Tamandua tetradactyla: one gene and its partners. The protein of the gene in region 1 purifies or fractionates together with the protein of each later gene. This does not show direct contact. Links are inferred from orthologs where the notes say so. Each region holds a gene or a part of one and is shown on either strand. Other genes may lie near its edges.

Evidence for each region.
Region 2: the proteins of KLC3 (region 1) and KIF5B purify together in Homo sapiens (affinity purification with mass spectrometry; 3 studies listed by BioGRID and IntAct, with this or other methods). This does not show direct contact. The link is inferred for Tamandua tetradactyla from reciprocal best matches to the Homo sapiens genes KLC3 and KIF5B.
Region 3: the proteins of KLC3 (region 1) and YWHAE purify together in Homo sapiens (affinity purification with mass spectrometry; 3 studies listed by BioGRID and IntAct, with this or other methods). This does not show direct contact. The link is inferred for Tamandua tetradactyla from reciprocal best matches to the Homo sapiens genes KLC3 and YWHAE.

The regions. Positions count from the first base shown.
Region 1 is NC_135342.1:15,650,167-15,659,423, reverse strand, and holds the start of KLC3 (kinesin light chain 3), read left to right. Parts: upstream 1-4,809; 5' UTR 4,810-4,913; intron 4,914-5,251; exon of another isoform or gene 5,252-5,352; intron 5,353-8,199; 5' UTR 8,200-8,207; coding exon 8,208-8,465; intron 8,466-8,952; coding exon 8,953-9,183; intron 9,184-9,257. UniProt on the Homo sapiens protein: Kinesin is a microtubule-associated force-producing protein that may play a role in organelle transport. Plays a role during spermiogenesis in the development of the sperm tail midpiece and in the normal function of spermatozoa.
Region 2 is NC_135327.1:219,145,988-219,156,387, forward strand, and holds the start of KIF5B (kinesin-1 heavy chain), read left to right. Parts: upstream 1-6,668; 5' UTR 6,669-7,145; coding exon 7,146-7,271; intron 7,272-10,400. UniProt on the Homo sapiens protein: Microtubule-dependent motor required for normal distribution of mitochondria and lysosomes. Can induce formation of neurite-like membrane protrusions in non-neuronal cells in a ZFYVE27-dependent manner.
Region 3 is NC_135332.1:55,180,574-55,190,643, reverse strand, and holds the start of YWHAE (14-3-3 protein epsilon), read left to right. Parts: upstream 1-5,902; 5' UTR 5,903-6,025; coding exon 6,026-6,089; intron 6,090-10,070. UniProt on the Homo sapiens protein: Adapter protein implicated in the regulation of a large spectrum of both general and specialized signaling pathways. Binds to a large number of partners, usually by recognition of a phosphoserine or phosphothreonine motif.

The DNA of each region.
Region 1 (9,257 bases):
AAAGAATAAAGTGGATTGTTCTAGTTTGCTAGCTGCCGGAATGCAGTATACCAGAAACAGAATGGCTTTTAAAAAGAGGAATTTACTAAGTTGCTAGTTTACAGTTCTAAGGCCGAAAAAGTCCCAATTACAACAAGTCTATAGAAATGTCCAATCAAAGGCATCCAGGGAGAGATACCTTGGTTCAAGAAGGCCGATGAAGTTCAGGGTTTCTCTCTTAAGTGAGAAGGCACATGGCGAACAGGGTCAGGGTTTCTCTCTCGGCTGGAAGGGCACATGGCGAGCAAGGCGTCATCTGCAAGCTTTCTCTCCTGGCTTCCTGTTTCATGAAGCTCCCCAGGAGGTGTTCTCCTTCATCTCCAAAGGTCGCTGGCTTGTAGGCTCTCTGCTTCTTGTGGCTATGTCGTTCTTCTCTGCTGTCTCTGAATCTCTCTTTCTCCAAAATGTTTCCTCTCTTATAGGAGTCCAGTAAACCAGTCAAGACCCACCCAAATGGGTGGAGACACGCCTCCACTTAATCCAGTTTAACAACCACTCTTGATTAAATCACCTCTCCAGGGAGATGATCTGATTACAGATTCAAATATACAGTATTGAATAGGGATTATTCTGCCTTTATGAAGTGGGTTTTGATTAAAACATGGCTTTTCTAGGGGACAAACATCCTTTCAAGCCAGCACACAGATCTATACATGCTAAGTGAAAAAAAAAAAAAAAAAAAAAAACCCGATATGCCTACAGCCACAAAAGCTCTATGAAACACATCTCCCCCCAAAAAGTTCAGTGGCTTTAAAACAGCAACCATTTATTCTCATGGATGTGGGATTAGCTGAGGGTTGGCTGATTGGGTTGAGCTCAGGTGGGAAATTTGTCCCCCACATCTCCACCGTGGGGTGTGGGCTAAAGGGGGAGCAGCCACGTAGGAGAAACACTTCTGATGATGATGCCAGCGCATGAAAGTAAACATGCAAGGTCTCCGAAGGCCTAAGCGTAGAACTGGCAAAGTTGTCACGTGGCCAAGCCCAAAGTCAAGGCCAACGAATCTTCAGCCCACCTCCATGGAGAGGTGTTTCCTCACTTGTTTTACTTCAATGGGCGCACACACTCCTATATCAGCACACAGCCCAAAGCCGTGGAAGATCTCTGGAAGGTATGTGAGAAGGTATCTAGGGATCAAGAAGAGATGAAGATATGTCATTGGTAACAGAGACCATCAGGAGTTAGAAATAGGGTAAGATAATGGGTAATTGGAGCTGAAGGGATACACACTGTGCAACAGGACTAGATACAAAAACTCAAAAATGGACAGCACAATACTACCTAATTGTAATGTAATTATGTTAAAACACTGAATGAAACTGCATCTGAGCTATAGTTTTTTGTTTGTTTGTTTTGTTTTTTATATATATTTTTTGTATTTTTTATTTTTAATTTTTTCTCTATATTATCATTTTATTTCTTTTTCTGTTGTCTTGCTATTTCTTTTTCTAAATCGATGCAAATGTACTAAGAAATGATGATCATACATCTATGTGATGATATTAAGAATTACTGATTGCGTATGTAGAATGGAATGATTTCTAAATGTTGTGTTAGTTAATTTTTTTAATTAATAAAATAAATAAATAAATAAAGAAGAGATGAAGACCTACTTTTCACTCCTTTTATATTCTGTGAATTTCTTTTTCTGACGGTGCATAAATTTTTCAATTAAGGGGGGAAAAATAAGACTTTTTTTAAACTGGCCAAACTAAGGGACCGGCAAAGCCTTCCTGATCAAAATGGGGGAAAGAAGTGTAATAAAATAAGGCATCAGTGGCTGAGAGACCAAATGGAGTCAAGAGGCTATTCCGGAGGCTACTGTTACCTGAGCGTCGGTTGGAGAGTGCTGATTGCCATGGTTTGCTAACCCCCAACCAGCATCACTCCTGTTGACTCTTCAGAACACCTAGGGCTGGAGCGGAGACGCTATAAAAGTTTCACACACTAATTTTGACTTCCTGGAACCTATAACTTCCAGAGGGTTCCCGGGCCAGATACATCCTGAAACACCAGAGGGACCAGCCTCTCCAAGGTTATCTTAAGTACATCCCCCTATCCTTTAGTGTTGAGACTCCTTCTCAACATGAAAAAATCAGAACCAGCATTACCTAAAGATCCCTATAGATTGGGAGAAGGAGCAAAGGAGAAGGAAGAGGTATGACAGAGAAAATAGGATTTAACAAATAAATATGACTGCTGAATCACTACACTGATTTTAGCCTCCGGTGTTTTGGATCCGCTAGAAGATAAAATCTGAAATATGAAATAATGGAGTGGTAGCCCCTGACAAACTCTGAAATCTATTCTGTTGAAGTGCACTTTGAAAATTGTTGCTTTTTCTTTCCTTTCTGTGTATATATCTTTCACAATTAAAAATGTTAGAAAATAAAAAAAAACTGGATGAGAGGTGAAAAAGAAAATCCTTGACCCATCCACCCATTTTCCTGAGTTGGCAAACTGAGGCCTTATGGAACAGGATGGGGTGTTTGTTGACTGCCTTCTTGGATATGGACTTGGGTAACCTATTTCTCCTCTCTGAGCCTCAGTTTCTTCATCTTAGGTGGGACTAATAATGGTACCTACCTCAGGTGACTATTGTATGGATTTAATGGCTCTGCTACTACTTGGCTGTGTGACTTTAGACAAGCTACTCAACCTCTCTGTGTCTCGTCTTCTTCATCTGTGGAATGGGGATAATCCTAGCACCTGCCTCGTAGGGTTGGTAGGAGAGCTTGGCTCAGCACCTGGGTGTGGCTAAGAACTCAGAAACACCAGCCCTCATTGGTGTGAGGGAAAGTTGCTTGGCACAGGGCCAGCCTAAAGAGATGGTTGCCTTAGTTAACTTTCTTCTTTCAACCTTTCCCTCATTGAATCCTTCCACAATACTGTGTGGTAAACCTGATCATCCCTGTTTTTCAGAGGAGGAAACATGGGCTCAGAATGAGGTCATTTCTTGCATAGTCACATGACAAGGAAACGACAAGGCCAGAATTCAAACTCAGATCTACCTGGCTCCAGGTCCCTTGGCCCCCCCACCCCTCCCCACACACATGTAGTATCTGCTGTGTGCCACCACCGTCTCCTAAGCCTTTTCTCGGGATGACTCGTTAACCCTCACAACAGCCTGATAAAGTAGATTACCCTCACAAGTCCTGTTTTACAGATGGGGAGCCCGAGGCCCAGAGAGGTTATCTCCCGGCTCCGGGACACACAGCCAGTAAATGGCCGAGCTGGGATTTGCACCAGTCTATCACCCACCCTGCCTTGTGTGCAGAACCAACATACAGTGTCCTGAGGCCAAAAGCATGGGAGTGGGTGTAAGGAGGGGAGCTCAGCTGTCCCTTTATCCCTCCCAGCCCCCTCTGGAAGAGTTAGATTGTGCATTCCATCATTTAGGCACCACCATTCTCCCCAGTGCCTTCACTTGTACTTGGACGTGCTAGGAACATGGCAGTGATGGGAGACAGACTTGGTCTTTCCTTTCCATAGGGGGCTCCTGTCCCGTGGTGTAAACAGACCCATTCCTAGACAGCTACAACCCAGAGTGGGCAGGATTGGGATGGGGGAGATCAGGAGGCTGCAGGACCCCCAAAAGGATGTCTGACCCAGCCTGGGAAATCAGAGAGGGCTTCCTGGAGGAGGAGAGGAAGCAACAGGTTGGCTGTGGCTCCGTGGGAGATAACTGACCTGCGCTGAAGTCGGGAGCCTGGTTCACGGTCCCAAGGCGCCCTCTGCTGGAAGCAGCCCCTAGTGCAGATGCTTGGAAAAGCGTGAGTTGAGGTAAAAATCCTGTGCACCAAGCTTGGACCATTTTATGATTCTAGGGTTTGATTCGTTTAGTCAGTCACTCAACAAATATTTATCGAGCACCCAATAAGCTCCAGGCTCTGTTCTAGTGCTAAAGATAAACTTCTGACAATACACAAGGTCAGGAGCTGACAAATTCTAGAAATGGAAGAAAATGTACCAATAATTATAATAGTATACAATCAGTGCTAACATTTGCTAAGTGTCTCCATATGCCCGACCCTGATAAACGTACTGTCCATATGTAACAATAACCCTTTGATTATTCCTATTTTACAGAATGGAAAGTGAGGTATAGAGAGGTAAAGTATTACCCAAGAACTGCACAGTCCGTAAATGCTGGAATCAGGATTTGAATCCAGAGCCCATATTTTTAACCATCATATTACCTCCCCTCTCTAATAATCTAATATAATATGATAACTGAGATGATATATGATATAAATGTTATAACATAATAAATGTGAAATGATGTGTTTATAAAATAACTTCAGGCCCTAGACAATTTTGTGAACAAGATCAAGCAGGGAAATGAAGTAGTATTTTGGTGGGAAGATAATTTAGACGGAGTGGTCACTGAAGACTTCTCGGAGGAGGCAACCTCTGATAAGAGACCCGACCACAGCGAGATCTGTCCGCAGATCTGTAGGAAGACGGTTCCAAGCAGCGGGCGCAACCAAAGCAGAAGCCCCGCGGCCGGCATAGCGCAGCGGCCATGGATCTGGGATCCCAAGCGTCCGAGATTCCAAGTTTCCGAGACGCTAGCTTAGCCGAGGCCCCTCTTTTCCAGGCCCCCAGCGCGCTGGGATCATCCTCAGACCCGACGTGCACCGACAGTTCTGCAATTCCCGCGGGGAGGCGCAGCGGGTCTACACTTTTCTGGGCCGGGGGGGCGGGGCCGGCCTCACCTGCGGGGGGCGGGGCTCCCTGGCCGCCCCGCCCCCCGCAGGTGACGCCGCGGTCGGAGACGCGGGACTCAGCCGGGCTCAGCGGGGAGCGGGGTGCGGCGCGGGTGGGGCGGGGCGCAGCGCGGCGAAGCGGATCCCGGAGGCGTCCGCGGACAGGTGGGCACAGGTTGGCGGGCTGGGCGGGCCGGGAGTCCCGGGGGACCGCGAAGATGGGGGTGTGGGAGGGGCTGCGGGGGCGGAGGGAGAGGCGCCGGGCTGGGCGCCCTCCTGGGCACGCTCCCCTGACGTCGGGGACGGGCCTCGCGGTCCCTGAGCGCCCCCTGCCCCGCCCTGGGGTCGCTCAGGGGGGTTTGGAGGCCCGGCCCGCGCCGCACCCACTCCCCCGCGCGCAGGTAAACAGCCGCGAGTGCAGGGCGGGGCCTGGGGAGGGGGTGCGGGGCAGGGGGAGAGAGGGAGTCCCTTGTGACGGGCGGGGAGGCCGGGGCGCGGGGTACTGGGCCGGCCCGCCGGGAGTAAGGTGGTGCGGACTTGCCGGGGCGGCCTGGAGCCTCCTGCCCGCCTGTGTGTCTGAGAGATGGTGCCCGAGGCCCTTGGGGTGTGTACGAGTGTGTGATGGTATAAGGCTGTGGGTGTGCGTGTGAACGGGAGAGGAAGCGTCTGGGTCACCGCCTGCGGGTGGAGGGCGTGCGTGGATGATGTGGGTTGTGTGATCCATGAGGTGAAAATGTGGATGACCTTCTGGTTGTGACTGATGGTGTGTGTGTTGGGAAGTTGGGCTGTTTCTAGGACTTTGTGTAGTGGGGCTGGTCAGCTTTCTGCTGATGGCTGTGTGTGTGTGTGTGTGTGTGTGTGTGTGTGTGTGTGTGTGTCTCGGGAGTTGGGCTGTTTACGGGAGCAGCCCTAGGTCAGGATGAATAATACAAGACTAGGCACCGTCTGGTTGTGTGTCTCTGAGCAACGCCTGTGTGCAGCTGTGTGTGCGAATGTGAGCAGGAGGTGTGTAACCGTAGGTTTGTGCCTGTAGGATGGTGTGTGTGTGTGTGTATGTGTGAGGGAACTGGGGGAGAGGTGGTGGCATGTCCCTGTGTGTGGCTGATGGAGGCTGGACTGTAGCATGGGACGGTGTGCGTGTAACTGTGGGTGGGTAGAGTGAGGGGTGTGTCTGTGTGTGTGTGGAGCGAAGGCAGGGAGGAGCGTGTCTGCACGGAGGTGCTGTGCCGCGGCCTGAGGCAGTGTCAGTGTGGGAGACAGGGGGGTGGGGATGGACAGACTGAGGGACGTGTGGGCGAGACAGTCCCCTGGCTCCCATGGGAATGAGGCTGGGATGGGTGTGACAGGGCAGACGCAGGTATCCGCATTGGCGCTCTGCATGCAGGGCGTGATTGCCATCCTGTCACCCGGGTGGCCGCCTGCTGTGGGGGCTGGATGAGGGGGACGGTGTGTCTGGAAACAGAACTCTGCAGTCACCCCCCGGGCACATGCAGCTCAGTTATGGCTGAGATTGCATATGACCTCGCAGCGCACGGGCTGAGTCCACAGGACCGGGCGACGCACGGTTGTGGTTGTCGGGGTGACTGCTGAGGAGCCTGTGCGGTTGGGTTTGACTGTTCGTGTGGTTTGTGTGAGACGAACACACACGTACACGTGTTGAAAGAGGGAGAGAGGTGGACCGGCAGCCATCAGGGCACAGAATGCCTGCAGGGCAGCCCTCCTGCCTGCGTGTGTCCAAGGGTGTGTGGTTGTGATTGTGGAGAAGGTGCCGGCCTCCCAGGCTCTTATGGGGTCCCTGTGGCTTCAGTGACATGTGCTGAGTGTGACTGTGGAACTGCCTTCTCTGAGTGTTAGCTGCCATCTATACTGGCGGAACCTACTTCCAGCAGGGGGAATAAGCTAAGTAAGTTCAGGGGTGACTTGCACGTGTGGTGTGCATGTGCACATGTGTGTAGGGGCATGAAGGCCTGGCTGGCCAGGCGAGGGGGCAGGCTGGAGAAATTGGGGGAGGTGGAGACCTGTCCATGAGGAATCTGGGGGAGAGGGTCGGAGGGGGCGTTGGCTGCTGGCGGCCCTGTGCAGGCGGGAGGGGGCATGGGGCATGGGGGCAGGTGAGGAGGTCCAGAGACCCTCGGAATATGAGGGAGAGGGGATTTACTTGGATCTTCCAAGATAAGGGGAAGGGGGAGGAGAGAGTTTCTGCACGTGTTGGCTTTTACGTTTAGAGAATGACCCTGAGTGTTGGGTTGTATTTCCAGGAGGGGAGAGTATGGTGTGTTTTTTCTGAGAAGAGTGTGTGTGTGTGTATGACATTAGGTTGTATCTGTGAAAGGAGAACATGGTGTGCATGAGTGTGTGTGTGGCATTATATTTCTAGGATAGTGTGCACTCGGTGTGTGTACACGTTGTATCTGGGAAGAGAGTATGTGTGTGTATTGTGTGGTGTTTCAAAGAAAGGAGAGAGTGTGTGTGTTGGGTTGTGTTTTGGAAAGGAGAATGTGTTGTCTGAATTTCTGAGAAGAGAGTGGAGTGTGCGTGTGCATGTCGTGGTATGTTTCCTGCAGGCCGTGTGTGCATGCGAGTGTGTCTCTGAGGGTCACACAGGCACCAACAGCTGGGATCGGTGACCTTGAGCCACCACTACCACCCGCATTAGAACCTTACCCATTGCAATCAGGGCCTCGGACCCTCGGCTGTCATGGGGCCAGTGTGACATCCGTGGGCCACGCCTGCCACACGCATGTCCCCACACGCCCTGGGCCACTGGGCGTGTATGTGGTGGAGGGTGGGGGCCCTGCTCCCCCCAGGTCTGTCAGTCTCCCCCATCAGAGCCACATGGGGGCACAGATCGCCCCCCCGCCTGGTCCCCCAATCTAGAGAGCTCCTCTACTTCCGGCACCCCAGCCTCTCAGCCCTCTCCATCCCACCCCGCCCATGCCAGTGGTCTGACTGGTTTCCAGCAAAAACACTCTAACAATGAGCTCATGGAGAGGCTGCCGCCTCCATGCTCCCTGCCTGGCTCCACGCCCCACAGAGGAGGGTGCCCGGTCCAGGTCCCACAGCTGGGAGTTCTGGGTCAGAGTATCCAGAGTCCTTGGGGTGGGGAGGAGTGGCCAGGTGAGCCAGGGGAGGTGTGGGGGCCACGAGCCTGCTGCATGCCTCTCTTGGTTAATTACACATGGCGGAGTTTGGACCTGTCCCCAAAGCTTCCAGAATGTTTCCAGATAAGGGCTGTCTAGGACAGGTGTGGAGGCAGGGGGCTGGCTGGGATGAGGAGGGCCTAGTGGCACAGGGAGAGGTTGCAGTGGGCTGGGGGGCGTCCTGCAGGCTGGAATGGGAGTGGAGGCAGGGGGGTGGCAAGATGGGGAGGAGTTGGGGGTGTCTTGCCAGCTGGGTTGGCCATGGGGAGAGGGGGCTGGCACCGACTCCCCCAACCCTGGCCACCCCCCAGGAGCAGCGATGTCGGTGCAGGTGGCAAGTCCTGGAGGTGCGGGGCTGGGCCCCGAGCGCCTGAGCCCTGAGGAGCTGGTGCGGCAGACCCGGCAGGTGGTACAGGGGCTGGAGGCGCTGCGGGCTGAGCACCATGGCCTGGCCGGGCACCTGGCAGAGGCCCTGGCAGGACAGGGCCCTGCAGCTGGCTTGGAGCTGCTGGAAGAAAAGCACCAGGTGGTGAGCCACTCACTGGAGGCCATCGAGCTGGGGCTGGGCGAGGCCCAGGTATGAGGGGCCAGGTATGGGGGTGACTTAGGCCTAGGGGTGGAGGAGGCCCAGATATCCTGAGAAATGTAGACTGAGGGGTGGGGTCAGGCTGAGGACAGGCAAGGACAGGTGTAGGTCTCCAGTATTGCAGAGGAGTGGGTCTGGGGTAGGGGGAGGCCTTGGGTGACCAGCCGTGGGAGGGGGAGGCTCTAGGCCAGAGAAGGGGTCCTAGACAGCTTTAGGGGGTCGTTGTGTGTGGCACGGACCCTTGAACCAGTCCTTTCACAGAACTGAGGGTCCTAGAGAGATGCTGGGGAGGGAGGAGTGGAATAGGAAGTGAAGTCAAGGTCACTGACTGGGTGTGCCTTGGTGAAATGGGGGCGGGGGGTGTCCTGAGTATCTCTGGGACTATATTTGGAGGAATCCGTGAAGAATCTGGGGGATCCTGGAGAGAATGGGGTTGATTTGGGGCCCTGACCCTGACTCACCTCCCCCACCCCTGCAGGTGCTGCTGGCGCTGTCTGCCCACGTGGGCGCACTGGAGGCAGAGAAGCAGCGGCTGCGGGCTCAGGCCCGGCGGCTGGCCCAGGAGAACGCATGGCTGCGGGAGGAGCTGGAGGAGACGCAGCGGCGGCTGCGGGCCAGCGAGGAAGCCGTGGCCCAGCTGGAGGAGGAGAAAAGCCACCTCGAATTCCTGGGGCAGCTGCGGCAGTACGACCCGCCCGCGGAGGGCCAGGTCTGTGGGGCAGGGCGAGACAGGGACTGCCATGTGTTGAGGGGTGCAGCCCTCCTGACCCTCCTTAGAACCCT
Region 2 (10,400 bases), on another chromosome or scaffold:
ATTCCCCAAAATATCCATCCTCTGTGCTCTCATGGTATTGCTTTTATAGAACCTAACTCCCTCAATAGACCAGGACCTCCTCAAAGGAAAGTTATTTACATTTGTATTCTACCACCTCTTAATTAACTAATAGGCTCTCATTGAATTCTAATTTCAATCATTAGGAAGGATTTATTAGCATTTATGATCCTGAGCACTGGGTTAAACATTATTGGAGAGAATGAAAATGAGTCACTGTCACTGCCCTCAAGGAACCCATTATATTCTTCAGGTGATGAAACTTCTAGAGACCAAGAGGTGAAATGTTGCCAATTAAATATGGCAAGTTGAATATTCACATTTATCTTCAAACCTCCCTGAAGCCCCACTAAAATGACAGAAAGAATTATAAAAGGCCTAAAGCTACAAGGGTTAAAAAAAAAAAAACTTGAAAGAAGATCTATCAACAAACAGGATTTCAGCAAAATGTTGGAAATGTGTTAACTCCCTAAGTAGTGTGGAGAATATAGAAATCCAAGCTTGGAGGGCAGAAAGTCAACAAGAAGCAAGGCAATTCACTAAGGAGCACCCCAGAAAGCCTTAGGAATTATAAAAACTAGTTACTCTGGAGGCAGAAGTACAGGTAGGGCTGCAAATAGAAATAATTAATAATTCCCACCAACCAGAAGATTGCCCCCCTCCTCCAGCACAACAGAAGGAAGGAAGCTTACTTTCTGCACACGTTGAACCATATATAGACTAAGTAAACTCAGGGAAACCAGCCACAGCTGAGAATAGAAGTGAGTCGCCTTCCTGAAAAAAGAGACACAAAAGTTTACCAGTGGAAGGCTGAGATCTACCAACCCCACCCACCTCAAAGAAAAGTCTGGTACACAAGCCAAGCTTAAGTTCACTTGGCAAGAAATTGGAGAATTCCTCTCTGGGGAAAGTAATCAGCAGCCCAAAATAACATTTAGAATTTCCCTAATGGAATGGCTAGGTCCTGCCAGTCACCCAGTAGTGAAACCCATCACTCCGCAAACCTTACCCACATGCACAGAACTTCCAACAAGTGTAGTTTCTCACTCAAACATTTTAGAACACTCAGGCCCACCACACACTTGAGGAGATCCTCTAAACTGCATGACAAAGATCAAAACAACCACAGTGACAATTTAGAAAGCAGAAAAAAACTAAAAACAAAACGTAGGAGAAGACATTGCTTTATGAAACAAGACCAAAATTTCATTAAAAGCATCCATTCAGAGAAGATTTCTTGTGAGTGGGAGGGTGGGAGGCTATATATATATATATTCCTAAAGGAAATAACCAACAGAAAAGTTAGAAATAAAGTTGAGGGATTCTCCCAAAAAGGGTAACAAAAACAAAAAAGAGATGGAAAATAGAAAACAAAGCAGAGAAGTATAGATTTAAAAGAAGATACTAATAGCTGCCTGGGAGAAAATGCAGATCGCATACAAATATTAGGCCTCAGAAGGAATCAGACTTCTCATCACTAAAAACAGGAGTTAGAAGAAGATCATAGAGAAATGGCTTCAAATTTCAGAGAGAAAGTGATTATTAACCTAGATTTCTGTACCCAGCCCAACTATCAATCAAGTTTGAAGTTAAAGATATTTTATATATGTAAGATTTCAAAAAAATTTATCTTTCATGTATTTTCTCTGGAATGTAACCTCCATATGGCAGGACATTTTGTTCACTGGTGAATTCCCTGTGCCTAAAACAATACATGATACATACAAGCACTTCATAAATATTTATTAAATGAATAATATTCTTTAAAATGAAGGAGAAAAGGAAGTCAACCAACAAGAGAGGTAAAGAGGATATGAAAGATAATGGTGAGTGGAACCTCCAGGATGACAACTATGCATCAGTGCCAGGAAGCAACCAGTCCAATTTAGAGCAGAAGAACAGAGACCATAAAGGGGGGTGTTTCCAAGGGAAAAACCGATGGGCAACCTGATGTGTTCAACTGTATCAAGACTAGCCTTATACTTCCAATGCAGATTTGGGATAAAATGATGAAAAAGTGAGGCAATTATTAACTCCGGAAGAAACAAAAAGTGGTACAAGCTGGGCAATGTCGTTTCCTGAAGATGACTAGATAATGATATAGCTTTCACAATGTGACTGTGTGATTGTGAAAATCTTGCGTCTGATACTTCTTTTATCTACAGTATGGACAGATGAGTAAAACATATGGATTAAAAATAAATAAATAATGGGGTAACAAATGTTAAAATAAATTTAGTAGATTGAAATGCTAGTGAGCAATGAAAGGGAGTGGTAAGGGGTATAGAAAAAAATAGGGGAAGCAGAGGCTAAAATTTATTGGGTAGATGGAAATATTGGTGGTCAATGAGAGGGAGGGGTATGGGGTATGGTATGTATTATGTATGAGTTTTTTTCTTTTTCTTTTTTATTTCTTTTTCTAGGTTGATGCAAAGTTTCAGCTCATTCTAGGGTTTTTCTTAATCCCTTGATGCTGAATCTCAGCTCATTCTGGGATTTCTGTCCCACGTTGCCAGGAAGAGCCACACCTGTGGGAGTCATGTCCCACGTAGACAGGGGGAGGGTGGTGAGTTTACTTGCTGTGTTGGCTGGAGAGAGAGGCCACATCTGAGCAACAAAAGAGGTTCTCCTAGGGGTGACTCTTAGGCCTAATTTTATGTAGGCTTGACCCCTGTGGGGTTAAGTTTCATATGAACAAACCCCAAGACTGGGGAAAGCCCATTTTTTAATAAGTCACTTCATCTGAAATTATAAAAGAAATTTTCTTATATTAACAATGATACAAACAGTGGTTATGTTCTTAGGTTCCCTTCAACTACTTAATTTAAAATTAATACAAAATATAGTCCAATCTAAGTATATCTATGATACATAAGTAACATTTTATAGAATTATTTCCAGGATTCCAAATTGGAAGGTATTATTTCAGTTATTTACTGCTATGTAACAAGTTATTCAAAACTGAGCAGCTTAAGGCACTAACTTTTTAATTATATCTCAGGATTTTAATGGGTAAGGAATTTGCTTCAAGGGGTATAAACTGAGATTACTCAGTGGTATTCAACTCGTGGATGTGCTGGTCTGGACAGTTCAAGATGGCTTCATTCCCATGCCTGGCACCTAGGTGGGGATGGCTGTAAGGCTGTGGTCTGCTGGCTCTGTTGACTGGAATGACTACATATGGCCTCTCCAGCATGATGTTCTCAGGGAAGTTGTTTTTGTTACATGGCAGTTCAGAGTTCCCAGAAAGACTGTTTGAAGAGACCAAGGCAGAAGCTCTGAAGCTTCTTCTCACCTACTGTCAGATGTCATGAGATATCACGCTTTGGCCACATTTACTGAATCACAGGGCCGGTCCAGATTAAAGGAGAGGGACTACACAAAGTTGTGAATTCATGTAGGCCTGGTTCATTGGAGGATCATCTTTGGAGATTCTTCCACAGCAGATATTTAATATTCTAACTGTGTGCAGGTGAAAGTACCACTCACATCTTCACCAGGAAAAGTTATATTAATGAGTCTCAATGGACTCTTAAAGAAATCTACTGTTCCACTGCTAAGGCTGAATAATGAAAACATTTTTTATACTTGGAAGAAAACTGGGATTAACCAGTTTTTTATCAATCTTTTGGTCCCCTAACAAAATATTTCTTAAAGCTGTTTTTGCCTAGTACCGCTATTCTTTATTAGCACGACAGAATAATTTTTGTATCTGTGCTTTTCACATAGTGTTTTTCTCTGCCCTGGTTCAGTGATGACACTCAAGATCTTTGTTTTTCCTTGCTGAAAAGTATCTGTTTCAGGACTGAAAACAGAAGGCTCTTGCAGACACTTCCCTTTTTGGCTTTTGTTTTCATAAAGCCTGAGCTTCCAGAATCTGTTGGGAAAGGGGAAGGAAGTGTCAAGATTTGAAAGGCAACAGAAGTTGGTCAATACCATGAGGAGCAGAGGTTCTTAGAACTTCATTCCTTGGCCCTTTCACCATTCCTTTCCCTTCCCACAACCAGGAAGTCTCCTAACTCACTTCTTTGGAATCTCTAGGGATCCATGGAGTGGTGTCTAAAAATCACTACTCTAAATCAATCATTCCTCATATCTTCTGAACTGGTTATAAAGGGGAAGGATGGAGTAAAAGTTGAGGAACTTCAGATATGGGTGACTGTGCTTCTTTTCTGGATTGTAGGGCATGAAGGAAACAGAGTTAAGAGGTGATTATAACTTTTCTAGCCTGGGAGTATGGAAGATGATGATACTCATCATCACAACTGGAAAGCTGAATAGTTGAATTAAATATTGGCAGGGAGCAGAGGATAATTAATTTTATTTCTGCAGAGTTAATTTTGAGATTATGATAGAGCATTCTAAACAAGGTGGCCTCTAGGCAACTGGAGATGGAAATGTCACACAAGTGAAAAGCTGGGATTGACACAGATTTGACAACTGTTGAAGTGAGCTCATAGAGAAGAGCAGTGGGCAGAGGACAAAGCCTTCAAGAAATTCTGCTGCAGTGTGGCTGAAAGTTGGTGGCCCATCTGACATCTACAGCCTGCAGGAATGTTTTACCTAGCGTACACATTATTTAAATTATTTTTAAATAAATGGGCAATTTATTTAAGAACTGGGAGTTTTCACAAAATCTGGGTTATGGCTTTTCTTGAAAATAGGAAGACTTGACAGTGTTAGCCTATCTTGCCCATGGAGGAAGTTGAGTCCCCACTGCCTCCTTTAGATGAAGGAGCGGCTGTCCAGGTGAACACGGTCCCTTCTAATAAACTTCACCTACTTAATGGCAGCAAAAAAGATTAAAAACAACAGACACCAAAAGTGTTAGATTTTGTTGTTGTTTTACAGACGGGGAGAATAAACATATTTGTTTTCTCCCCCCCCCCCCACACACACCCCTTTAGAGAGGTTGAGAAAAGGGAGAAATCAAAGTTGTTAGAAGATGGGGACCATTAATAGGATCCAGAGAGTAGATGAAGTTGGAAAATGCAGATGAAAAATTAGTCTTAGGGAAGGAAAGCACTGTCATCCCTGGAGTAAAAATCTGTCATTCACCAGACTGGACTAACAAATACACATAAAGCCAGCTGCAAAGTTAACAAGAAATAGTATTTCTCCCAAGGACATGTTGCATCTGTAAAGAGTCACAATGATCCCATTCTTTGAGTGACTTTTGCTTTCTTACTGAGAAACTTTGATCTCTAAAATCAGACTATCAGAAATTGCTGTTAGAGATTATAGCATTAAGAATGAAACATCCCAGTGTCACCTGGAGGACTGAAGACATAGAAAAGAAGCCTCAAATTCCAAGCCAGGTGCAGAGCTTTGGAGAAGGGGTCTCTGAAGACTACATTCCATGTCTCTCACCTTTATAATTTCTAAAGGAACAGGACCCTGGGTCCACTTGGCGGTCCAGTCCCGGTACTGACCCCTTGACTCACACAGCCGGTCCAGTCCCGGTACTGACCCCTTGACTCACACAGCCGGTCCAGTCCCGGTACTGACCCCTTGACTCACACAGGTGTGCTGCGCTTTGTGCTTCTCAAAACAGTGTTTCATCTAAATTTTACATAAACTCCATACATCTCCCTAATCCCGTGATAACTCCATCTTTTCCTTTGTTTGGTGAGATGCCCTAGGGTTCCTCCCAGGTGTGAGTTTTTCCTCATTGCAACGAGTTCAAAAACCTGAATCTTTTGGGGCTGTGGGTTAATCTTCGGTGGTACTAGGATGATTGGGCCAGGAAGGCACACTGGAGGTTTTCATTCCAAGCCTTCATTTTACAAACAAAAACTGGAGACCGAAAAAGAGTTCCTAACTGTCTTTTCAGTTCTCCTTCCCCAGAGCCTCAGTCATTTACACATGAAGCTATATATCCTCTATGACATCCTTCCAAAAAGAGGAAGCGAAATCAACCGTGGCGGGGTGCTCCTCAGACTTGCAATACACACGTTTACCTGAGCCTTTTAAGAACATCTTTCTGCTAACTCCAGCTCAGTCGTTTCTCAGATGTTGGGATTGATAATGTCTTAAAATTTATTATCAGCGAAGTGGAACCCTCCGATTCACCGATGGCCTCACACACCTCACCCTAGTGTTCCGTATTTCTTCAGCAACTTTCTTTCTCGCTTCCCTAGAGGGAATTTCTTTTTCCTTTTTTATTCTGGTCTCCCCAGCCGACTGTCAGGAAGGAGCAACCTCTTAAAGAGAAAGCCATGTTCCACTCTTCATCCAAATCCTCTTCCTTTGTCTGAGCAGCCGTTCTAAAAAAGTTGGGCTAGGAATCAATTTCTCCTCCAGAACAAAACTAAAGCAAGCGCTTCCTTTTAGGAATATAGCATTTTATTAAAACATACTACACGAACTGTTTAAACAACTCCCAACCCCCGACAAAGAAAAGAAAGCGCTGGGGAATATCAGTGGCAGGCGGCGGGGAGTATCCAAACGCGGTCTTTCAAGGTAGCATTCCGAGAAACTTGAATTTGCAGCTCCTCACCGAGGAACGGTCGCGGGAGGTGCCGGCTGATTGGTCGCCCGAGTGCCTCGGCCCCGCCGCGCCTGCGCCTGCGCCGTCCCCGCCCCGCCCTGAGCTGCCCTCCCCCGCTGGCCGCCGCACCCCCTAGCTCCCCTCAGCTCCCCGCCGCCCGGTCGCCGCGCCTGCGCCTGCGCCCTGGAGACTGTCGGATCAGGCGGTCTCCCGCAAGCCGGCGAGCGCACTACCGGGAGGGCAGACAGGTCAACCCGGCGGGCTCTTTCTCGAGGAGGAAGGAGGGGGCGGCATTCTGGGTCTTCAGAATTCCCGGAGGTCCCGCAGTCTGCCCCGGCCGACAAGGGAGAAGTTGGGGAGCTGCGGGACGCTCTGCCGAGTGCCGCCGCCATGGCTGCCATGATGGATCGGAAGTGAGCCTCAGGCCGACGGCTGCCGGCGCCGGCGCTTCCAGTCTCCGCTCCCCGGCTGCCCCGCCCGGGGACGCGCGGCGCGGCGTCTGCGGAATCTCCGTACCCCCGCGACCCGGGCTCGCTGGCGCTCCCCGGAGACCAGAACCTCATCAGCTCGTGCTTGCTTTCTCCAAGACTAAGCAGCGGGGAGTGGCTCCCGGCCTCCAGACCCGGCGGCGAGGAAGATGGCGGACCCGGCCGAGTGCAACATCAAAGTGATGTGTCGCTTCAGACCTCTCAACGAGTCTGAAGTGAACCGCGGCGATAAGTACGTCGCCAAGTTTCAGGGAGAAGACACGGTCATGATGGCGGTGAGTGGTTCCCCCCTCCCGCCCGTCCCTGGTCATCGGACCTGGCTGGTCGGGGAGTTCAGGGCAATGGCGAGGTGCAGAGTTGAGAAGGGAGTAGTGGTGTCCCAGCCCTCCCCACTTGGGTTTGCCGGTTCAGATAACCGTTGATAGGAAGACTGCGCAGCTGCCTGGGTTTTTCTGAATCGTCCCCACCCTGGTCTTCGGTGCCCGGTGATGGGAGGTGCCTAGACTCAGGCTGGGACACTCCCCCACCCGGGGCGCTGGAGGAACCATCCGGGGAGCAAGTTTAGTGCATAGTTGCGTTTGTTTAGGTGTGTGTGTGTAGTTACTGTTGGTGGTGCTTGTTGTTTTGGACAACCCCCATTCATAAAATACTTAGGAGAAAGTAGTTCAGCTAGCAATATTGAACTATGAGGCCAGCCCTACTGTAACTTAAATAGAGGAGATGGCTTTGTTTTATAGAAATATATAACTGCATGTTCAACCGTATTGTTTCTGTCTCGGGAGGAGAAAAATTAGCAAAATAATTCAAATATGCTTGTACCTCAGATGTTCACTCACCAGCCTTTGGAGTTATGAGTGACTTTTCTTATTAACAAAAGCAAATGGCGAATCGAGACCTAAAAAGAATAGTCAGATCGGTCAAATAAGTGCCCAGAAGGATCCAAAATCTCCCCCTTACTGGGTTTTATGATATAATTATCTAGGAAAGAGCTTTACTATTTGGTGTATATCAGAAAGAATTATAAGAAGCAAACTTTTGAAAAAGATAGAAATTGACCAGTGAACTAGATTTCTCATTCTTGGTATTAGAGTCATACTTAACAGTTAGAATCCGTGGTGAAGAAAATTCATTTAGATAATCCCAACGATGCTGACCTAGTGTCCCTTTGTAGGGTAAAGCATAACTTAACTAGAATTGGTTTATCATTGTCAAGGGGAGCAGAATGTGAGGTGGTTGTTTTTTGATACCTGATTTTTATGCTTCTGAAAATGTAATATGGTATAATCCCATAGGACGTGAAAACAATGCTAGTCAGAATTCTAGAGGAAGGCATATCCCTACCAGAAGTGTGTCTTTCATAACCAAAAGGTCTCTGAAAATAACATTCCCAGTTCAAGGAGGTTAACGTGCATAGTAAGATACTGCATACAGAATAGTGAACTGTGGCCAAAAATAAGATTCTTCTTTCTTGGTAATAGCATGTGGCAGAACTTTTTTCTGCGTGGCTTTCGTGGTACCAATTTTTAACATGTTGATTTTTTTCCCTAATGGCATCTGTATTTACTATGTTGTTTGGGTAGCTTAATTTGGAAATGAGGGCAAAGAAGCCACAGGAGATGGGATATTGATGATTGTAAGTATTAGCATATAACTCCTTTGAGGTTTTATGTGAAGGCTCCCAAAATTCAGCTCTAGAAAATGCACGCATTAGCTCCACGTTGCTCTTGGTAGGCTTTTGGCAAACAAGTCATTAGATCACTAACACAACTGCCAACTCTTACTGTGTGAAGACTGTCAGGCTGTTTCTTTGTTAACAAGTCCACAAGAAAAACTCTTGCTATTAATGACATCATTGGGAAGACAAGAAGTTAAGTACAAAAGAAATCAGTCATCTTTTCCTTTAGAATTGTCTTCTTTGCATGGAATCAGAGGAAGCTTGCAGGGCCTGGGTTGTTAGTTGGCATACATCAGGCGTCTAGTTTCTCAGAGTTTTTGTGATTTCCCAGTTTCAACAGTGTTTGACACATCAAAGCTATTTTCCTTTAAAGCTTGTATTAAGAATGTCTTATTTCTCCAGGTTTTTTGAGTATGCAGTATCTGTAAGCATTGCTAATACTCTTTTGCTAGAATGCTAAAATTTAAAATTCATAAATTGTATTAAGGATAGGTTGGAAGTCAACCTTCTACTGCAGCCCAAATATGACATATAAAATGAGGAAAGAGCTAAAAGAAACAAATAATTACCACGGGAAGCATATGTCTATTCTAAGTAGTTTCCTTTGGAATAAGTTAAGTTGTAACCTCCTTGGAAATGTTAATAAATTTAAATGATAATATTGGAAATAATGGATAGGTGATTGAGTTGTGAATCAATTAATAACAGTTGACCTTAAGATAAACTGGTAGGCATTTTAGTCTGGTTAAAAAAAAAAAGAACAGCAACATAGTATAAGCAAAAATACAACTGAGTGACTAGCCTTGAAAAATGTGAGGCAACATAGTTCATTATTTTCGAGAATTAATTTCTTGCATATAGTAAGTACATTAATTCAAGGCCTCATATTTTTGTTCACTTTATTAAATGAACTGTTTTATTTTTTAAAAAAAGCTTGTTTGGAATTATAACGGTAGCTGGGAAGGGTGAAATTAAAAAATCTCTAAACAAAAATCCTCTCCAGGTTTGTTTTGTTAAACCTACTGGATCCTGATCCTAATTCAAAATATGTAGTTTAGGAGGGAATTGCTGCAATGCAACATCTAAAACTAAATTATTTTAAACATGGTTTTAAAACATTTTCTATACAATGCTCCAGTTAAGTAAATTTGAAGAATAAGTATAGTTTATGCTGTTGCTCATTTAAAAGCATAAACTGCTGATGTAGAAAATAGTTTTTAAGAATTTTTAAGATTTTCTTCAAGGTTCATTTTCTAATACTTTGCTGTTAAAACGTTTTTCTGTTATTCATATGTCAGCGACTTTAATATGACCCCATGGCAGGCAAGTCTCTATGAAGTGTTTCTTTGTGCTCTGTAACCTTTTGTACAAATTTAATTGTTATTAAGGGCTTGGTGAAGTGCTGTAAATGTAACATATTGAATGAAATAAGTAAAAGTTTATTTTAAAAAAACCTTTAAATGATACAAATAGAATCCGTTTGCACTCAAACAGGAATCACTTCATTTAAGAAATCTAAGGTATGATCACAGCTCATGTAATACAATTATTCCTATTTCTGTCCCTTTGAAACCCAAGTCAAATGTGAGGGCATCTTATGATGTGGAGTTTGTAGAATGAAAATCTGGAACTTTGAGTATCTTCAGAGCTAAATAGAAATAAAGGCCACAGAAGACATATTTCAGATCTAAGAATCAAGCTTCTTTAACATAGCTGTCCAGATACTGAG
Region 3 (10,070 bases), on another chromosome or scaffold:
TGGAACTATCTGATGTTCTGGAGAGGCTGGGCTAGGTTTCAGGACTTATCTGGACCAGGAACCCACCTGGAAGTTGTAGGTTTCTCGCAGGTTACTCTAGTGCCTGGAACCCTTGAATCTTATAAATTGCCCTAGGTGTTCTTTGGGATTGGCTGGAATGATCCTGGTTCGGGGTTGGCAGGTTATTATAGGTAGCAAGGTCTACCTGAAGCTTGCATAAGAGCAACCTCCAGAGTAGCCTCTCAACTCTATTTGAACTCTCTCTGCCACTGATACGTTATTAATTATGCTTTTTTCCCCCCATTTGGTCAGGATGAAATTGCTGATCCCACGGTGCCAGGTCTGGATTCATCCCTGGGAGAACTCTCCCATGTCGCCAGGGAGACTTTCACCCCTGGATATCATGTCCCATGTAGGGGGGAGGGCATTGATTTCACTTGCAGAGTTAGGCTTAGAGAGACTGAGGCCGCATCTGAGCAACAACAGAGATTCTCCAAAAGTAACTCTTTGGCATGCCTATAGGTAGTCCAAGCTTTTATGCTACCTACATAAGCTTCACAAGAGTAAACCTCATGATCGAGGGCATGGTCTATTGATTTGTGTCCCTAAAGTTGGAAACAGTATCAGGGGATTCCCTGATGGTCAGGTTTAATAGTTCCATAGGAGAAATAACTTTTTTTTAAAATTGTATTAGGACTATTGATTTTTTTGAAGGATGACTACCTTCCCAACACACACAATTTCAAATAGATTAAAGATATAAATGATAAAAAACTGTAAGAGAACAAGAAGAAAGTATAGGCACAAATTTTTATATGTTTGGATGTCTGGAAGATTTTTATAAAGATGACAGCAATCTGAGAGGCCCGTAGGAAAAGACTGTAGGATCAGACTAAAAAATATTTGAAACTTCTCTGAAGGTCACCATAAAGTTAAAAGCCAAATGGCAAAGAAGAAAAAATATTTCCATCATATATAACTGCCAAATGGTAATGTCCATAAAACACAGACAATTCCTACAAAATAATAAGAAAAAGACAACCCAATAGAAAAATGAACAAGGATAATATACAGAAAGGTTACAGAAGAAACACAAATGATAGATAATTATCTTCAAACTTATAAAACAGCCAAAGAAATGCAAGTTAATGAGACAGTCTCTCCTCACCCATTAAATTGTCAGAAATTAAAGCAGATTGATAATATCTGTGTTGGAGAGGATGTAGAGAACTGGGCAGTATCATATTTTTATAACATTTATGAAAAGCAATTTCACAGTGATCATAACAATGAAAGTGGGCATATACGGGGGTTTCTGGGGAGTTTGTGGAACTAGGGGCAGTTTATATGAGTTATCGTCACTTTGTGAACTGTTATTGCAGTGTGATCAGTCACTCTTCTGTTTGCATGTTACACTTTATTAAAAAGATTACAAAAAAAGTGTGCAAATTCATTGACAATAATTTCTCTTCTAGAAAATAATCCCCCTACAGAAATACCCATATACATGTGTAAAGATAAAAAGGAGTTAATTGCAGTATTAATTGTAATGAAGCAGGATAAAATAGGACAACTGTAAATTCCTGGTTTCCTATTCAGCTCTCAATGAGTTAACAGACAACTGCAAGTCTCTTGCTTCTTATCTCGTGCCAAAGGAACTAACGCAAACTGCAAACTTCAGCTGCAAACTTTCTGGGACAAAAATTTCCCCTAAAGCCCCCAAACCTCCCCCAAACCATGGAAACTTTCCTAAACCACAAAAGTTTGTAATATTCTGGGCATCAAACAAATTCTTAGTTAATAATAGGAAGTATAGGGTCATAAAGATTATTAACCATCTGCCCAAAGACAAATTTTAGGTATGAGACAACAAACCAGGAATGAATTCCCCTAGTTATCTCTTCCTAAAACAAAGAAGACACCTAGTTTCAAAAGTTACTATGGAAACCTGCCACCAGTAAACCTTTCCTATAAAATAAGCTTACACACTACACTCAGCCCATGTCCCTCCCTTGGGAGCATCCTCATTAACCTCTTTAACGTGTACTCTCTCCTTTAACAAATTTTACTACTGATTCCTACTGGCCCTCTCACCTCTAAATTCTTTTAGTGTGGAGACTAATAATGAACCTGGATCGAACCTGGATTGGGGCTCAGCTGGCACCACTGCCAGCGGGCACCGGTTATAGTAATAGCAAAACTGCAGAGAGCTTAAATGTTCATCAGTAGAAGATTTCTTTCTTAAACATCCATACAAGGGAATACCATAAGGTAATTAAAAAGAATAAAGTAGTTTTATAGGTACTATTCATGAAAAAAGCAATCTGCAGAACAATAATGTAGTATAGTCATTTAAAAATTTCCACCCTTTGATTCCATAAATTAATGCATGATAATAAAGACATTTATGAAAATACAAAAAAGTATAAATTTGAAAATGAATCACTTGTAGTCCCATTACTGAAACAAAACTTATTTAATATTGTTTTATTTTTCTGATCTTTTTAAATAGGTATAATTGTATTTTAACAACACAATACTGAATATGTAATTTTATATCTTGGCTTCTACATACATTGTGAGAATTTTTCATGTGACTGCATAACTTCAAAAATGCATTTTGATGATAAAGATATATAGGGGAAAAAATTAAACTCAGAAAGGTCTAAGATTTTTAAATGAGCCTATATTTATAATAATATTTTAATAAAATAATGCTTTAGGAACACAATAGTGGTAAATGTTAGAAAAGCAATAAAACTGCAAGCTCCTGGGGGCAATGACTAATCACATTTTTTTAATAACGTATTTCCTTCTGTGAGTGTTTTTAGTACGCTGACATGTATCTGTGGATACTCTCATCCAGACAGGTCAAAAGAGCTCTTATTTCTATTAAAGCAAATTCTGTAAAGTTTGGAGACTTCTACTTAAGGGTGTGACCTTAATGACCTGTTGTTTTAGAGGATTTTCAATGGAGTGTAAAGTATCTATTAACACAACAGTGGTAAAAAGGGCAGTATTATATGCTAAACAGCCATGTTTTTTTTTTATGTGTTTATAATTCCAGATGCCATTTCAAAGTCTGTTCACAATTTTTGGTGCCCTGTAAACAATTTCTGTAAACCTTGTTTACTTAGAGAATAGGCAGTACAATCTGAGAATCAATCTAAGTTTAAGATTTCTGCCTTCTCAGCAGTTTCTTAGGAAGGGGCACCTTCGGATAGACTCTGCTAGTCTTTGGAAGCAGTGTTGAGAAGCTCCTAGCAAGGAAAGAAGACGCAGTTGGGAAGAAGCGTACCCACCCCTAATCTCTGCATGTCCGTGACAGCTCTGTATTTGACCTGGCAGCAGAGCCAGCTTTCTAAGGTGGGTGGGATACGTGAACATGTGGAACAAACCTGTGGCTCAACAATATGTGACCACCCCTTTTGGCCACTCACAATTCCATTTTCTTTCCTTTCTCTCAGATTACTATTCTCTCACCCTCCATCTCTTCACTGCTGTTTCTTGAGAGAGCCCTATACTCAACCCTTCCACCCCCTCTCCTTCTTTGAGCTTCTGCCAAATGCAGCCTGGCTTCCAATACCTTTTCCAAGTTGCTCATGAGGGACACTAAAGACCTAACTCTATACCCAGTGGCTTTTCCTCAGTGCTTATCTTATTGGATATCTCTCCATCATTTCACACTACTTACCACCCCCTTTTTTTTTTCTTCTCACTTATATTAACTTATGTTTCTTACTCAAGCTTGAATCATAGAACCATTGATAAGAATTGCCAAACACTTATGGAGTCTCAGGCACTTTTCATGCAATCTCCCACTTAATTCTCATTTGTATGAGGAAAATATCTTTCTCATCTTATAGGTGAGAAAACTGAGATTTAAAGAAGATGAATGATTTGCCCCCATAACAGAGGCAATAAGTAGCTTTTGAATCCAAGATGTCCAGAGCCCATGGCTTTAACTGCTGTGATGTATCGTACAGAGCTGGAAGGGATCTCGAGTCCAGAAAATCCAGTTCCTTTACTGTACAGATGAACTCAAAGCTCAGAGGGTTGAAGTGTCCTGCTGAAGGTCATACATTTATTTAGTCGTAGAATTAGAGCTAGAACCTAGATCTTTTGACTCTTAGTCTTTTACCACTGAAATCTGTTAAGTGATAATAAGTGTGAAGAAGCTTAATTTGGAATGCAATAGGAAGCCTTGCAGTCTCCTTTGCTGGCTCTTCTTTCACCTACCTTTGAAACACAGGTGTTCTCTGAGGTTTTATGCTTGGCGTGCTGCTGCACTTCCAAACACTCTCTAGCTGCTTCCATGGCAGCCTACCTTCTATTTCTAACTCCAGTCTCCCTTTCCAAGTTCATGCAGGGTATTTCTACTTGGATGATCTTTGGGGACATCCCCTCAGAATCAACATGTGTTAAATGAAACTCATCTCCTTTTTCTGCAGTACACCAGTAAGTCTTCCTGTCATTCCATTTTTCGTTGTTTATGGTACTGCCACTCACTATCCCAGTGACTCAGGGTGGGAAGATGGAAAGTTAGTATTGATTTTCACCCTCTCAGAATATTTCTAAATCCTGTCATCTACAAACTCTTGGGGCTTCTACCTCTCTAGTGCCGTTCCTATTTATCCTTTCCTTCCTATTCTCACTGCCACTATCCATTACCTTTTGACTGGACTATTGTAATATTCTGATCATTTAACATACCTTGTAACCATTGTTATTCAACACCTACTAATCTCTATGCCAGTACTATCTTTGCCAGTACTATCTTTCCATGCAAAATCATCAATAGCTCCCTTGTGTCCACAGAATAAGATACAAACATCTTAGCTTGCCATATAAGACTCTTGGTAATTTGGCTACAACCTACTTTTCATTCCACATCGACTGCAGAGCCCACCACATAACTTAGGTTTTATTTACCTGTTTTATTCTTTGCACAGCCATTTATTGAGGAACTGGGAAATCCATTTCCTCAATAAATTACTGGTGTACTGCAGAAAAAGATGAGTTCCATTTAACACATGTTGATTCTGAGGGGATGTCCCCAAAGATCATCCAAGTAGAAATACCCTGCATGAACTTGGAAAGGGAGACTGGAGTTAGAAATAGAAGGTAGGCTGCCATGGAAGCAGCTAGAGAGTGTTTGGAGGTGAAGCAGCACGCCAAGCAAACCTCGGAGAACACCTGTGTTTCAAAGGTAGGTGAAAGAAGTAAAACGGTCCAGATCGTTGCTAACACCAAGCAATTTCCATTGACAGATCTTCCTACTTCCTCAAAATCAAGTTTTCCCTTGGTTCAACTTTTCGGCACCTTGTAACCCAAAGCAGGCTCCCCGAACAACTTTCCTGCTCCTATCCACGTGGACCTAAGCATTAAAAGAAGGCTAAAGGGGAGAAGAAAAAATAGAAAGTGCAAGGAAGAAGACGAGATGTAAAAACTGGAATCCCCCCTTAGCAAGAGCCCAACACTTTACTCCGGGTTTAAAAAGTCTGAAAAGACCCAGGACTGGGTTTAGTCGTGAGAACCTGGGCACGGTAAAGGAAGCCAGTTGATTTCGATAGGGAGGCCTGCCATGACAAAAACAGCCTGTCCCTTTCCCTGCCCTTCAGTCCTAGGCATGGGCCCACAGTAGTAGCCCAAGATCGCTCGCTCAGTCTTTTCAGGCGCGGTTCACACGGGCTGCGCCTCCGGCTGTCCTCTCTCCCTCTTCGCCGTTAGCGCTGCCCCTCAGCTGCGGTTGCAGTCTCTACACTCCAGCTCCAGCGGAGCCAACGGAGGCGGGGCGTCTCGCGGGTTTCAGCCTCTTCGAGAGCCGAGCTCGAGGGCCCGCCCCCCGCGCCAGTTGCCAGGGAGCGGTTGCCATAGAGCTGAGCAGTTGTCCGCGTGCGCAGGCGGAAGTCCCGGATTGAGGCGCCGCCATTTTTGCTGCCCGGACGCGGAGCAAGAGGCTGAGAGAGTCGAGACGCTATCCGCTTCCATCCGTCGTGCACACCCTGCCGAAGCCGCCGCCGCTATGGATGATCGGGAAGATCTGGTGTACCAGGCGAAGCTGGCCGAGCAGGCCGAGCGATACGACGGTGAGTTGGGGGGTGCAGTTGGGGGCTGGGATTCTCGGACCCTCTGCCGCCGCCCACAGAGGCCAGGAGCAGGAGACAAAATGGCGGCATCGTCTCCGGCCCTGACCTGGGGATGTGGATTCGGGAAGGAGGAAATGGCCTCTGGGTTGCCGGAGCTGTGGGAGGCTCCAGGCCCAGGAATTAGACCCCTTCGGTGTCTTCAGTTGCAGCCATTCGCGGGCTAGGAGACTAAGGCGATAGGGTGGAGGAGTTGGTTGTAAAATGGCGGCTGGGGGAGGGCGAGTCCTGGGGCGGGGGAGGGGGGAGGAGATGGCCCCGTGCTGTCTCCAGGCGAGCAATTCCGTGGAAGCTTCTGGGACTGTCTTGTGATATGGAGAACAGTTGGGTGGGGTGATGGGGAAGAGGCACCCGCCACATAGGGGACGGTGGAGACTGGGAGCTGTAGCGCTGGTGTCTTTCAGGGAAACATGGCGGGTGGGGGCGGTGGCTTTTCCCCGGAGGCCCAGTGTGGGGCGGCGGCTGTGGAGACTCACAAAGGAGGACCGTTGCGAGCAGAGGGTTTCTTTGGACTTGGGGTGGGGGACATTCTTGGTGTTGGTGGGAGAGTGGGAATCACTGCAGTTCATCTTTGGGCGGAGGCAAGCTGAGATGCTGCGATCGAATTCCCTTCCCGTAGGGTGGCACACCTTGTAGTGATGGTTTTTTGGGCTTTACGTTCAGCCTCGCCTACTTGTTCTTCTGGGGAGGTCCAGAAAACCTCATCCATTCTCCTTTTCTTCGGACTTATTCAGAGAAGCTTGAAGTTCTTGTAATCTTTGGTTCCAGGAGCAGTGGGTTCTCGTGGATAGAACCTTAAAGAGGAGACAAGGAGATCGTGTTCTAATCTTTCCCGTGTCTCAGTTTACTGGTTGTAAAAATAATGACTTTTCTTTTCACATGCACCTTTATGAAAAACGTAACGACCTTCTGTAGAAGAATAAAATTATTTCAAATAAGGTAGAGTAGCTGCATTTTGGTTAACTCCCCAGGATCGGAGTGGTTCTTAAGCTATTCCAGGTACTTAACTGATGCATCATATGAGAAAAAAAATCTTATATGGTCCCTATGCAGATAGATGTTTTTATGCTTTTGGGGGGGGGGGTCTGGCATGGTCGTCATTAAGTGCGATCCTTAGAATTCTCTTACTTTTTTAAACTACTTATTTTTCAAAATGTCGTAGAGCTCTTGCTTTCCTTGAATACCACTTTGGTCATGCGAATAGCCTCAGGGCTAGCTCTAGTGTTTCACCAGAAATTAGGATTCGGGAATTTGAAATTTTGGTAGGTGGCTAGAACTCAAATTTAGAGAAGGATACTGCACTAAATTTCATCGTCTAAGTCCTTACATTGCTATTTGTATGAGGGAATAAGATGGGAAGTACAGCTCAAGGTCAGATTTGTCTTTATTTCGGTGTTTAAAATTCAAACAATTGTAGGTATGCTTGCAGTGGGAGTTTTTTTTTCCCACTTGGTGTCCCAAATAGGTTCCCCTTTTAATCTGCTGTTGCCGTTGGGGGAGGAAACTTTAAATTATATTTGAATGCTTTCTGTTCTGTAGGGATTTAGACTCTGAGTAAACGTGCTGTGATAACCAAAAAGGATCTTGAGGAATGCTTTCTTATTAAAAAAAAAAACACCAAAAAACAAAACTCGTTTTAAAAGCTGATCTGGGAGCTCATGATTGTATCTCCCAAATAAAGGATAATTTAGTGATAATCATGTTTTGGGATTGAGTGCTGAGGAATTTTGACCCAAGTCTTTATTGATTTTCAATATAGGACTTTTTTTTGCTGGAGCCAGATTTTTACATTGTTTAAATGTTACGTTTTCATTTCAAGGGCTAAAGGGAGAGGAAAATAGGATCTACAAAGGTGGGGGAAACTCCTGTGACTATTTGTGATGAGTTTCAGTGGAAAGGAAGAATACTCACTGGGGATCAGTCTTTACCTGTGTCCACAGATGCATAGGTTTCTTATTGAGCACAATCAATGAATTCAATTTTTTGTTGCCGAAGAAATGATCCATAGTTCTCTACACCAAAAAAAATTTATCAGGTGTAGTGAGTGGAAGAAGATGAAAAATTCATTTGAGTGGTTTGGATTTGGGGTACTTAGGGGTAAATATTGGCTTTCCAACTGCACTAATCGCTTTTTTTTCTCTGTCCTTGCAGTATCCTTGTCTTTTGTGTGCTGTGTTGAACCTAATGTCTAAACTTCTTTGTAGATTCGTTTCCTATTTAATTCTGTCCTAGGGAATTGCAATCAATTTATAGATTTTTTAATGGTATTAGACGAAGAGACAAGCTGTTTTCAGGAAAATAATAATTTGGGGATATATATATGAAATATTGAAGTTTGCTGTTAAGACCGTTCACTTTGAAGATTAAATTTGACATCTTGTCACTTGAGCAAGTCAGATTGTGTATTGGTAGCCATATTAGGCAAGTCCCTTCATCTCTTAGCAATCCTGAACCAAGTCTTACTAGTACTTTTAGAAAATTGGGGAATACAGAGGAAAACAAAGGCTCCTTTTCCCATTTTGGAGGAGTAGAGGAGTAGGCATAAACTACATTTGGGCTTGTGGGGTAGTTCTTTTGTTCTTACCTCAGTTTACTCCTGTGAAGATTGGTTGCAGAGTTTTTGATGATCACTTTTTATTCACTTTCTGTGTGATGAATGCATCAACACCAGGAATATCTCTGTCCTGAATCTTTTACTTGAGAACTGTCCTTGTAAAACACCAGAGCCCCACCTCTATCTTACTCTAGTTAGAGTGGTGGGGACCCTATTGTGGACATTCCTAAGCACCCTTTTTCACCTGTATATAACAGAAGTCTCAATTTGAACTCTTGTATGGGGAAGAATACATAAGTATTAAACTAAGCAAACTTTGGATTCATTAAGTACAAGCATGTGCATGGAAGGTCTGTACAAACAAGCATGCTTTTCATGATTGTTTTTTAGCTTGGTCAAGGGAATATGAAATATATTTTAAATATTTAAATAGCCCAGTAAATTAGTGTGTCTGATTTTACAGATGGGTTTCAAATACTTTTGAGAAGCTGAACTGAAAGCATGACTGTTAAAAAGAGGACCATAAGGCAGATTTTGCAGGAATTTTTTTTTACCTTTTATATGAAGAAAATGTGTATGTAAACAATGATAGGTTAAAGGTTAACTTTTTAGACTTTACATTATATAATACTGTATATAGTTTTCACAGTTCACAGACCATTTCACATGAGGTTTTTACTTCATATAACATCATTGAGGTATAAGTAGTGTTACTTCTGTTTTATGGTTCAGAAAGCTGAATTTGACAAGATTTAGTGGTATCTTCCCCTCTCCCCACATAGTCACATGACTAGTTGGCTAGTAAATGGCAAATTTGTCTGGTCACCTTTAGACCCATACTCTTATTTTTCCTTAGCGGCTCACAAAAAACCTATATATAACTAAGGTGGTGCTTGTTTTTCTTTAAGCAGTTACCTCAAATTAGTAATACATCTTTATGACTTGACTAGTATTATAAAGAGTGATTATTAGTAGATAAAACATAAATCCCAACTCAAAGCATAGTGAATGCAGTTAGAATTAAGTAATTGTAGAATGTATGTTCACTTACAGCTTCTGTGACCAGTACCTTTAAAAACCATTGTTTAGTACTGGGGTATGATTGCTGCCATGCATTTGTATAAAATACTTTTATTGAATGTGGGGTTTAAGTTAATGAAATAGTCATTAAAACTTTGAGTAAAAAAGATTGATGATTTACAAATGTTCCAAATAACCCCTGATGGATGTCAGAGAAGCCATTAAAAAGTAGTAAGGAATACAACAGAATTACTTACTTTTACTGTTTTCAGTGATTAGGTACTAGTTTGATAAACACTGATGTATCCAAGTTGACAAATTGGATTGATAAATAACTTCCTGGTTTGATC